2 linked regions of the Drosophila melanogaster genome follow. The protein of the gene in region 2 interacts with the protein of the main gene of each other region in a pairwise test. Each region holds a gene or a part of one and is shown on either strand. Other genes may lie near its edges. The genes, in order: CG10126 and ced-6.

Region 1 (3,927 bases), on a different chromosome or scaffold from region 2:
TTTTTAATTTCGGAGAAAGCCCTTTCGCAATTTCCCAAATTGGAACCCAAGGTGAAGGTCGCCGACCAAAAGTTTGGCCCCACAAATAGAAAACAAATGCGGGAATAAACAAGCCAAGCACAACGTACCTCCATGTTTTTTATTCGTGAATAGACCTTTTCACTAGTTTTATACAAAATTTGATGGGGGCTTGTTTTTTTTATAGGCGCCCAACTGAATGGATAACTGCAAGATACTTGTTACTTTGGCGGCTTTGAAATGCAAACTGAAAGCGAAAAATAAAGCGGTCGCAATGAATAAACAGCCAGTCGCTCGAGAAGAGCGAGATGGCCAGATACGAAGGTTCGAGACAGAACGAGAGGCACTCACCCAGATGGGGAGCACCGTGGAACGAGTGGAAATGAAATATGAGCTTTGCCGGCTTTTGTGGCGGGGGAAAACTAGTTACTAAAAAGCATTTACGCTCATGTAGAGCAGACAGTTCGTCCCAGACAGAAAACCCACTGGACTGCCAGCTCACCTGACTCATCCGCCTAATAACTCGGTCGCATTTGCCAGTGATGGCAGCTTTATTTTAAAATAAAATAAGATACATACTGTTAGAAAATAAGATAATATAAAATGAATTTAATCAAATATATTGACCCATATAAATTAGATTTTACCCAAACATTTGACAATAAACTTCTCATGACCAAACCATGTTTATATATAAATCTGTTCTCCACGAACAAGCGAAATTTATTAGATAACAATACATTTCTGTAAGCTAAGATATTTTCTATGCCTAAAAAAACTTCGAGTGCCTACAACTTTGTTAGATAGAAATGGACAACTCTGATAGTGGAATATACCCGGTCTTCTAAACATTTTATTTCAATTAAAAAGTGGCGGGTTCCTACACACCAATTTCGTGACTTCACTGGCCAAATGTTTACTTTCGGCCAACACGAGCCGACAGAAAACAAATATTCAAACTCAGTGATTGTGGCCTGTAAAATTGATCTAGATAAAAAAACGAAAGCACCTGAAAGTATGCAATTCAAAGTGCCCACGAGTTTGCCATTTATTTGGTTGGATTTAATTGAAGTTGCAGGGCAACCAACAACAGAAAGTTCAAAGTTAAACAAGCGTTGGTTTCGATTAAACTCATTCATAAAGATCAGGAAATAAAAATGATGTTGTCTCTTTAAGTTAATACTGCACTTGGCCTTTGATTCGCAGAATTTAAAATATGTAAATGAATGCAATCTTTAACTATTCACTTTTTCTTTTTATTTACTTTAAATTCTTTATTAATTTTTTTTTTTTTTTTTTTGTAAGGCCTGCTGTAAATATTTAAAACCTAATGCAGTACACTAAAATAAACTTGGTAAATCGAATATGACTTTTGCTGTTATTTGTATATCTTCACATTCCATTTAAGGTTGCATTTGCTGTGGTAAAATTCATTTTCCAATAGGCGGCACACAACACTTAATTTAAGGAATAGCCTTGAACTAAGTTGCTATTGGACACGGCTTGGTCGGTGCACGTGTTCCAAGGGTCTTATAATATGCATACGCCCCTAGAGGCACTACCATGTCATACGACCATTACGGGAAATAAGCCAGGTAAACATGACAGCACAATATTTTCACTTCGACCAGCGTGTTTGTCTAGCGCGGCCCCAATAATCAGTCATGAATCACTGCCGGCGGCCAACACTGCGTATGCGTAATATGCACTCAAATAAACCCTTTATAACGGTACTTAGCATGTTTAGCAGAGTAGAATCAAAGTTTTTGTTTGATAATTGATTTATTTATAATAACCTTGAGGCTCCAGCCTTTCGTGCGAATCTCCCTCAAGAACATGCCGCCCTACGAATTGAAACTCAACTAAATTCAGCCGGCGAAACTTAGTAACTAAAATAATAAATGCCGCACAAGTAAGTGGAACTAGGCAACAGCTCGGGGTGTACCACAACACACTGCGGCAATGAATGGGACAAGGTGACTCATATCGTGTCTTTGAACTTGTCCCGTTTTAGCCAAAGAAACCACAAGAAATAATAACACGTGTTCTAAAATGGTGAAATTGTGTCAATAAATTATCTTGTGTTCTTTAGAATAAGGATAATTTTTAAGTTATTCATTAATACAAAGAGTAGTTTTCTTAACAGAAATCTATTTTCGATAAGCTTTTACTAAGAGTAACAACTTTTCCCCTGTCCACGCTTTTGAGAAAGCTTTTCAGCAAGAAAGAAGGCAAGCGAGTGGTTAGTGGATATGACCTGAAGGTTTTCCACCTTTTCCACACATTTCCCCAGTTGACTGACTGTCCGTCTGAGAGAGTGGGTGTGTGAAAAGGACGTTGGAAAGAGGGCGGGACTTCAACGGGAGAGTGTGTGCATTGATGTTGTCAACGCATCATCTGAGCCTGAACTCAATCAGTGAATCACTTCACAATTCGCTGATCAAAAGGAAAACAATCATACGCATTTGAAGTGTCAGAAATTGCCAAAGAGGAAAAGCCCCAGTTGAGAGAGGGAGATGGCCAAACATGCGAATGAGACGGCGACAGAGCGAAAGCGGCGAGAAGAAGACCAGGACCCTTTCGTCCTTTTTGCCATTTTGCCATGTTGACACACTCAAAACTCTGCGACTGTGTGCGAGTGCCTGGCGTGTATTTTCTTTTTAATCAATTTATATGCAAATAAGTGAAATGCTTAACTGAATTTGAGCTGTCTCTCTGACTGACTGACTTGCCCCCTCCCCCACTTGGCGACCCCTTCAATCATTCGCCTGCCTTTGCCTTTTTGCCAGTTGCTTGATTGAAAACGTTAAACGCATTGATTAACGAAAGACGCAAATTCGACAGAGACTGGGATTTAATTGAACTTGTTGCCACGGAATTCCCTTTGCCACGTCCACTGATTGCCACATCCAACTTTATCCATCCGAAAGCCAAGATCTTCCACAGACTGTTGCAAATATTTGCCTGGCCAACACTACACCAGTCGGTTGTCAACCACATTTTACTAATATTAGGTTCAGCCCAGCATAGTTTAGCACCACCAAAAACTACCGCTGGAAAGAAATTAAACATTTTAAAAATTACCTTTTTTTGATAAATATTTACATTGCATTTAAATGGATTTATTGAAAAGATTAAAAATATCTATACATTTTTATGAAAAGATTTTGACCTAGTTTCTTATTTTCGCTTATTCTCAGTGCATTGAGTCAGCTCCTTTCCCCTTCACTTTTTCGTCAAAGGCGAGAACGACTCTCACCTAATCCTTAGGATGGAGGAGCACCTTCATCACACCGGCGCCAGTTTTGACAGGCCCTCGAGAATTTTGGGTCTTTGTCTGTGGCGACGCCTGTGTGTAAATTGATAAAATCAACTTGATAACTTCATTTCATTAAGTAAACATTAATCACATTAACTTTTGTGCCTTATGTCGGTTTGGGACTGGTGCCGAAATTAACCCTAAATGCCTTCCCCACTTCAGACCGTAAGATCTGTATAATTTTAATAAGAAAATCTGCTTGTCTGCTTTTCACACGCTCCCGACCTTTGAACCACAAAAGGCAAAAGTCTGCCAGGAGTGTGTCAATACATATTCAGCTTTGTATCTTTGCGCAAAAGGTAGTGTGTGTGTGTGTGGTATGAACCCTTGAGGTCAAGGCGTATAAAACTTATTACTTAATTTAAGTTGGGTCGCCAGCGAGCTTGACAGTGCCGAGGCACCAAAGAATTTATCATGTTGGCAAATTTAATAAAATGCGAAATACATTTTAATACATTTCGTTGGTCGAACGGGTTTTGCCTTTGTCCTAATTTTCGAAATGAGCATCTGCATATTTCAATTTCCAACAGATTTACATAAATTTTATAAGCCGAACTGCGTTGAATTGAGTTATTCATGAAAAGGGTTGT
Region 2 (3,927 bases):
CTCCTGGCCCAGGGAATTTTAACTTTGTTTGGCCCACAGTACTCTCCTTGTCGTTTCGCTGCATCTGGGCATACGTACAATTTTCCCACACCCGCTCTCTGTCACCGCGATCTCTCTCTCTTTATCTCTTCGCCGGACTTTTAAGCTCCTGTTTCGGCTTTTCTCTCCGCTTAATATTGGCCATTTACAGTTAGAGGCCGCTAGCTGCGCCGCCGACAGCAGATATTGCAGCTATTATTTTCTCTCCCGCTGTAATTTTATTACCAGTTTCCTTTCCGCCGGCCAAAAGGAAGACTCCGAACGGCTTTTCATTGAGAGATTTTCCGTGGAGCAACAGGGTGACCTATGCAACAAAGGGCAACGCTATTTTTGGGCTTTTCAAACTGCAACCTTGCTAGTTAAACCGCTTCCACTCATTAAAACTACATTGAATGTATTCATAAGCTTGCAACAAACTAATGAAGTCATATGTGGATTTTTAAAAGGTTTGTTTAACGACATTGTGTTTCTTGGAAGAAATGTCTACGAGACTTGGCTTTATACATAAGTACATAGATATTTTTCGTACTACGGAGAACCTAGAAGGGCTCAGCGAAACTGGCACCAACAACATGGTTCAATGTGCACTTATTGAGGGGGCGTTCGATCTGCCCCCCATTTGCAAGTAATAATGGCTTTTAAAAACTCGCTATTGCATTTTGATCGGGGTCTCTTTTGAATTGTTATCGTCGCCAAGGGGCGTTGACTGCGTATGCTCGTTGGGCGCGCTGAGGGGAGTCCTGAGGGGGCGTGACTTCGAATGCTTGTTTCGTCGCACATGACGTTATCTTGGCGTCGTTTTCATCATCAAAGCAATAGAGTTCAAAGGCCCAATTAGCCAAATAAAATGCATGAAACCAGAAAATACGTTTCTCACTCATTGTTTTATAAGGCGAAATGTCATTAAATGGTATTGTAAATATTTGTGCGCTGCAATAAAATGGCAGCCGAAGCCAGTTATTCTTGTTGCTTTGCAGCTCGTAGGAACGTGCTGGTATTTTTCAAGCGCAATCGCTCGCTCAGTTTTTCGGGCTTTTCAGCTTTTTCAGAGCCTGGGTGCGGAGCCGGTGTCATCAGCATAATTTACGTGCCGATGCCCGCCCCGCCGAGAGTCACGTTTCCACCTCACGCTCCTTATCACATGTCGACGAGCACGGGGAACACTGTAGGAAATCAAAAGTGGGGAGTACTGTCAAAGTGCCACAAAATGCATATACATATGTAAATAAGAAACTCAAAGCTGCAAATCAAACAAGCAACGCGATTCGGATTAATTCCAATGCCTAAATTATAGCCAGCAATGTAATGTAGCAATATTGAGAGAATATCATATTATCCTAACTATAGATATAAACATAAAATTCTAATTTCAGCTTTATTATGCTTCCCATAAGTAAACATTGACCTTCTTAATATACAATAACTGTCAAATTATCATTACAAGATAATTCAGAAGACAAATATTTTGTTTTCTGGGATCGCGGATTATCAAGTTGGCGGGTTCATTTAGCGCGTGTTGCCTGTGCTTCCAAATGAGCAGCGCTTATCTCGTTTACCTCTTGATCATCGCTTATCAGCGGGGCCCTGAACGCCCCCATAAAGGCACGACACACACACATACATACACAAGTGGCACGCACACGGACATGCACACATTTCGAGTAATTCAATTATTTTGTGTATTATTTTCAATGTGCAACAAAAGCGACAATAAAATAACAAGCCAGCGGCAATATACAGCCAGCAGCCGACTTATCACCGCGCCGTCGCTGTTGTTGCAATGCTTGTTGCTGCTGATGTTGTCGTCGATTTCAAACTGCTGGCACTGACTGGCACTGGCACACAGCTATGGCAATTATTCTGTGTTCGCTTCAGTCGCCCCGCCCGTTGATTTTGATAGAGCCAGAGCCCCGAGACTTCCGCTGGTCGCGGGAAGCGGAGGGAAGCGAGGCGGGGTCGGAAAACCGCGGGGTCGGCTGCTGGAAAAATCCAAGGAAAGTTCGGCGAAAGTCGTTGCCTATCAATGATGGGCGGTCTCAAGGGCTGTACATACATACAAACATACATATATTTTGATAGCTTACAATATACAAATGTACATATGCGAATTACACAAAATGTCATTTACATTTTACGCCCATTTTACTTCCCATTTGCATGCTCCTCTTAAAGGATTTTGACATATAACTTTATGATTGAACTAAGCTAAGAACTAGAATGGTATGTAATATTTTCCTTGGGTTCTAACAAAAGTCGCAGGAATAGAACTTCCTGCTCACGTCCAAGCAAACCAATCTCAGCGTTTTTAAGACAAATATGCATTATAAATTCATCAATCCTTCATTATTTATTTATTTAAGATAATATAACCGAGGCCATCGACTATGTACCTATATACTAATATACATCATTTGATTGAACTAAGATTAAAATTTTCGTAGACTGAAAGGGTATACTAGATTCGTTGAAATGTACATATACATATGTAAGTTAAAGAAGGGTGGAACCGTCAGCTGGACGTCGGCGGTAAACAGCGGACACGGCGGGATACATCGGAGTTTAAAATTCAACAGAAAGAAAATAATTATAAAACGTATAAAAAATGACTAACAAAACCCGGATTTGAAATTCAATACGATATTTTAAATATAGTGCCCGATTTCCGATAATTGAATGTTGGAGTTGTCATCTTGACCGATAAGCCGATAAGTGGAACACTTGGGGTGCTGCCAGATGGTTAGATATAGTTTAAACTAATTTATATCAAACATAGACTTGTAAGGTTAAGATTACAAGGTTATTGGCTTGTAAAGTATTCTTGCTTTCTTGTATAATAAGTTATCAATTTTAAAAAATTCGAAATCATTGTCGTTAAGTTTTGTGGGAGCTCGCCCTTTGCAACATCTGGCAACTTTGCCGTCATATGTTTGACAGTTTGACATGCACACAGTTTTGGAGTAGCTCAAAATATTTTCGCTATCGTTTTTTTTTAATAATTTCGTGTGTGAAACGGTGATATTATTGATTTTTGTTGCATTTTATGCATCGTCCAGCTGAAGCACATCGAAATCCGCCAAGGGACTCCACGGCTTGCGCACAGGGAGGCAGTGAAAAAGTTTTGTTTACCTTTTTTCGATATCCCAGAGTTCTGCGATTTCGGTGTCGCTGTGTGCGTGTGCGAGCGCCCATGTCACCTGTGTGTGTGTGCGTGCGAGCTGGTGTGCAAAAATGAAAATGCATTCTCAATAAAGCGAAATAAATGTGCCAACCGCTAAGAGAGTAGTGCATTCTAAAATTGGTTGTTAAAGCTGTGCACATGGAAAATGTGCCCGATATTTCCACCAGCGCTTCGTCCTCTTCTACTTCTAATTCAACTTCCACACTGAAACTCCAAAGTAAGTTAGCCCCAACTCCCCCTACCCCTATCACCCATCCCTCTTCTACATGCATATATGTAAGTTATATCTGTGCTGTAGCCCACGTATCTCCCGATTTTCGACCTGATAGTCGTGCTCTCCTCGATATTGGTTTTCCAATTAGTTTTTGTTTTGTTGTGTTTCGCTTTGCGTTGCGTTTTGTTTTCACGTTGTTGGGGGTTTCTTTGGGCCATTAACCCATTGGTGGCCGCTGTGCCATATTACGCCTTTCCTGTCAATACTGAAATCTCTTTAGTATTACGCCCATCTACGGTATTGCAAAGCTGGTTTAAAGATGGGAGAGTCTAATTGGAAATTCCTATGGACGCAATCAGCTGTTATCTGGATTCTTTAAACATAAATATGGCAACTCTGCTCGTAAAAACCGATTGGCGGGCTTCGAATTTTAGAAGTGTTAATAACACACTCTTAGTTGGTCATAAATTCATGAGTATAGATAAGATAAATGGAA

Evidence for each region.
Region 1: the proteins of ced-6 (region 2) and CG10126 interact in a two-hybrid assay, tested with the Drosophila melanogaster proteins (one large-scale study listed by BioGRID).

What each region holds. Positions count from the first base shown.
Region 1 is NT_033777.3:12,857,362-12,861,288, forward strand, and holds the start of CG10126 (uncharacterized protein), read right to left. Parts: upstream 1,886-3,927; 5' UTR 1,857-1,885; coding exon 1,815-1,856; intron 272-1,814; exon of another isoform or gene 135-271; coding exon of another isoform or gene 129-134; intron 1-128.
Region 2 is NT_033778.4:9,443,078-9,447,004, forward strand, and holds the start of ced-6 (ced-6), read right to left. Parts: upstream 1,861-3,927; 5' UTR 1,607-1,860; coding exon 1,596-1,606; intron 1-1,595. Other genes in the region: Camta (Calmodulin-binding transcription activator), read left to right, coding at 3,356-3,434. UniProt on the Drosophila melanogaster protein: Plays a role in axon pruning in larval mushroom body neurons during metamorphosis. Plays a role in the infiltration of glial cell processes into mushroom body lobes and the subsequent engulfment of degenerating axon branches.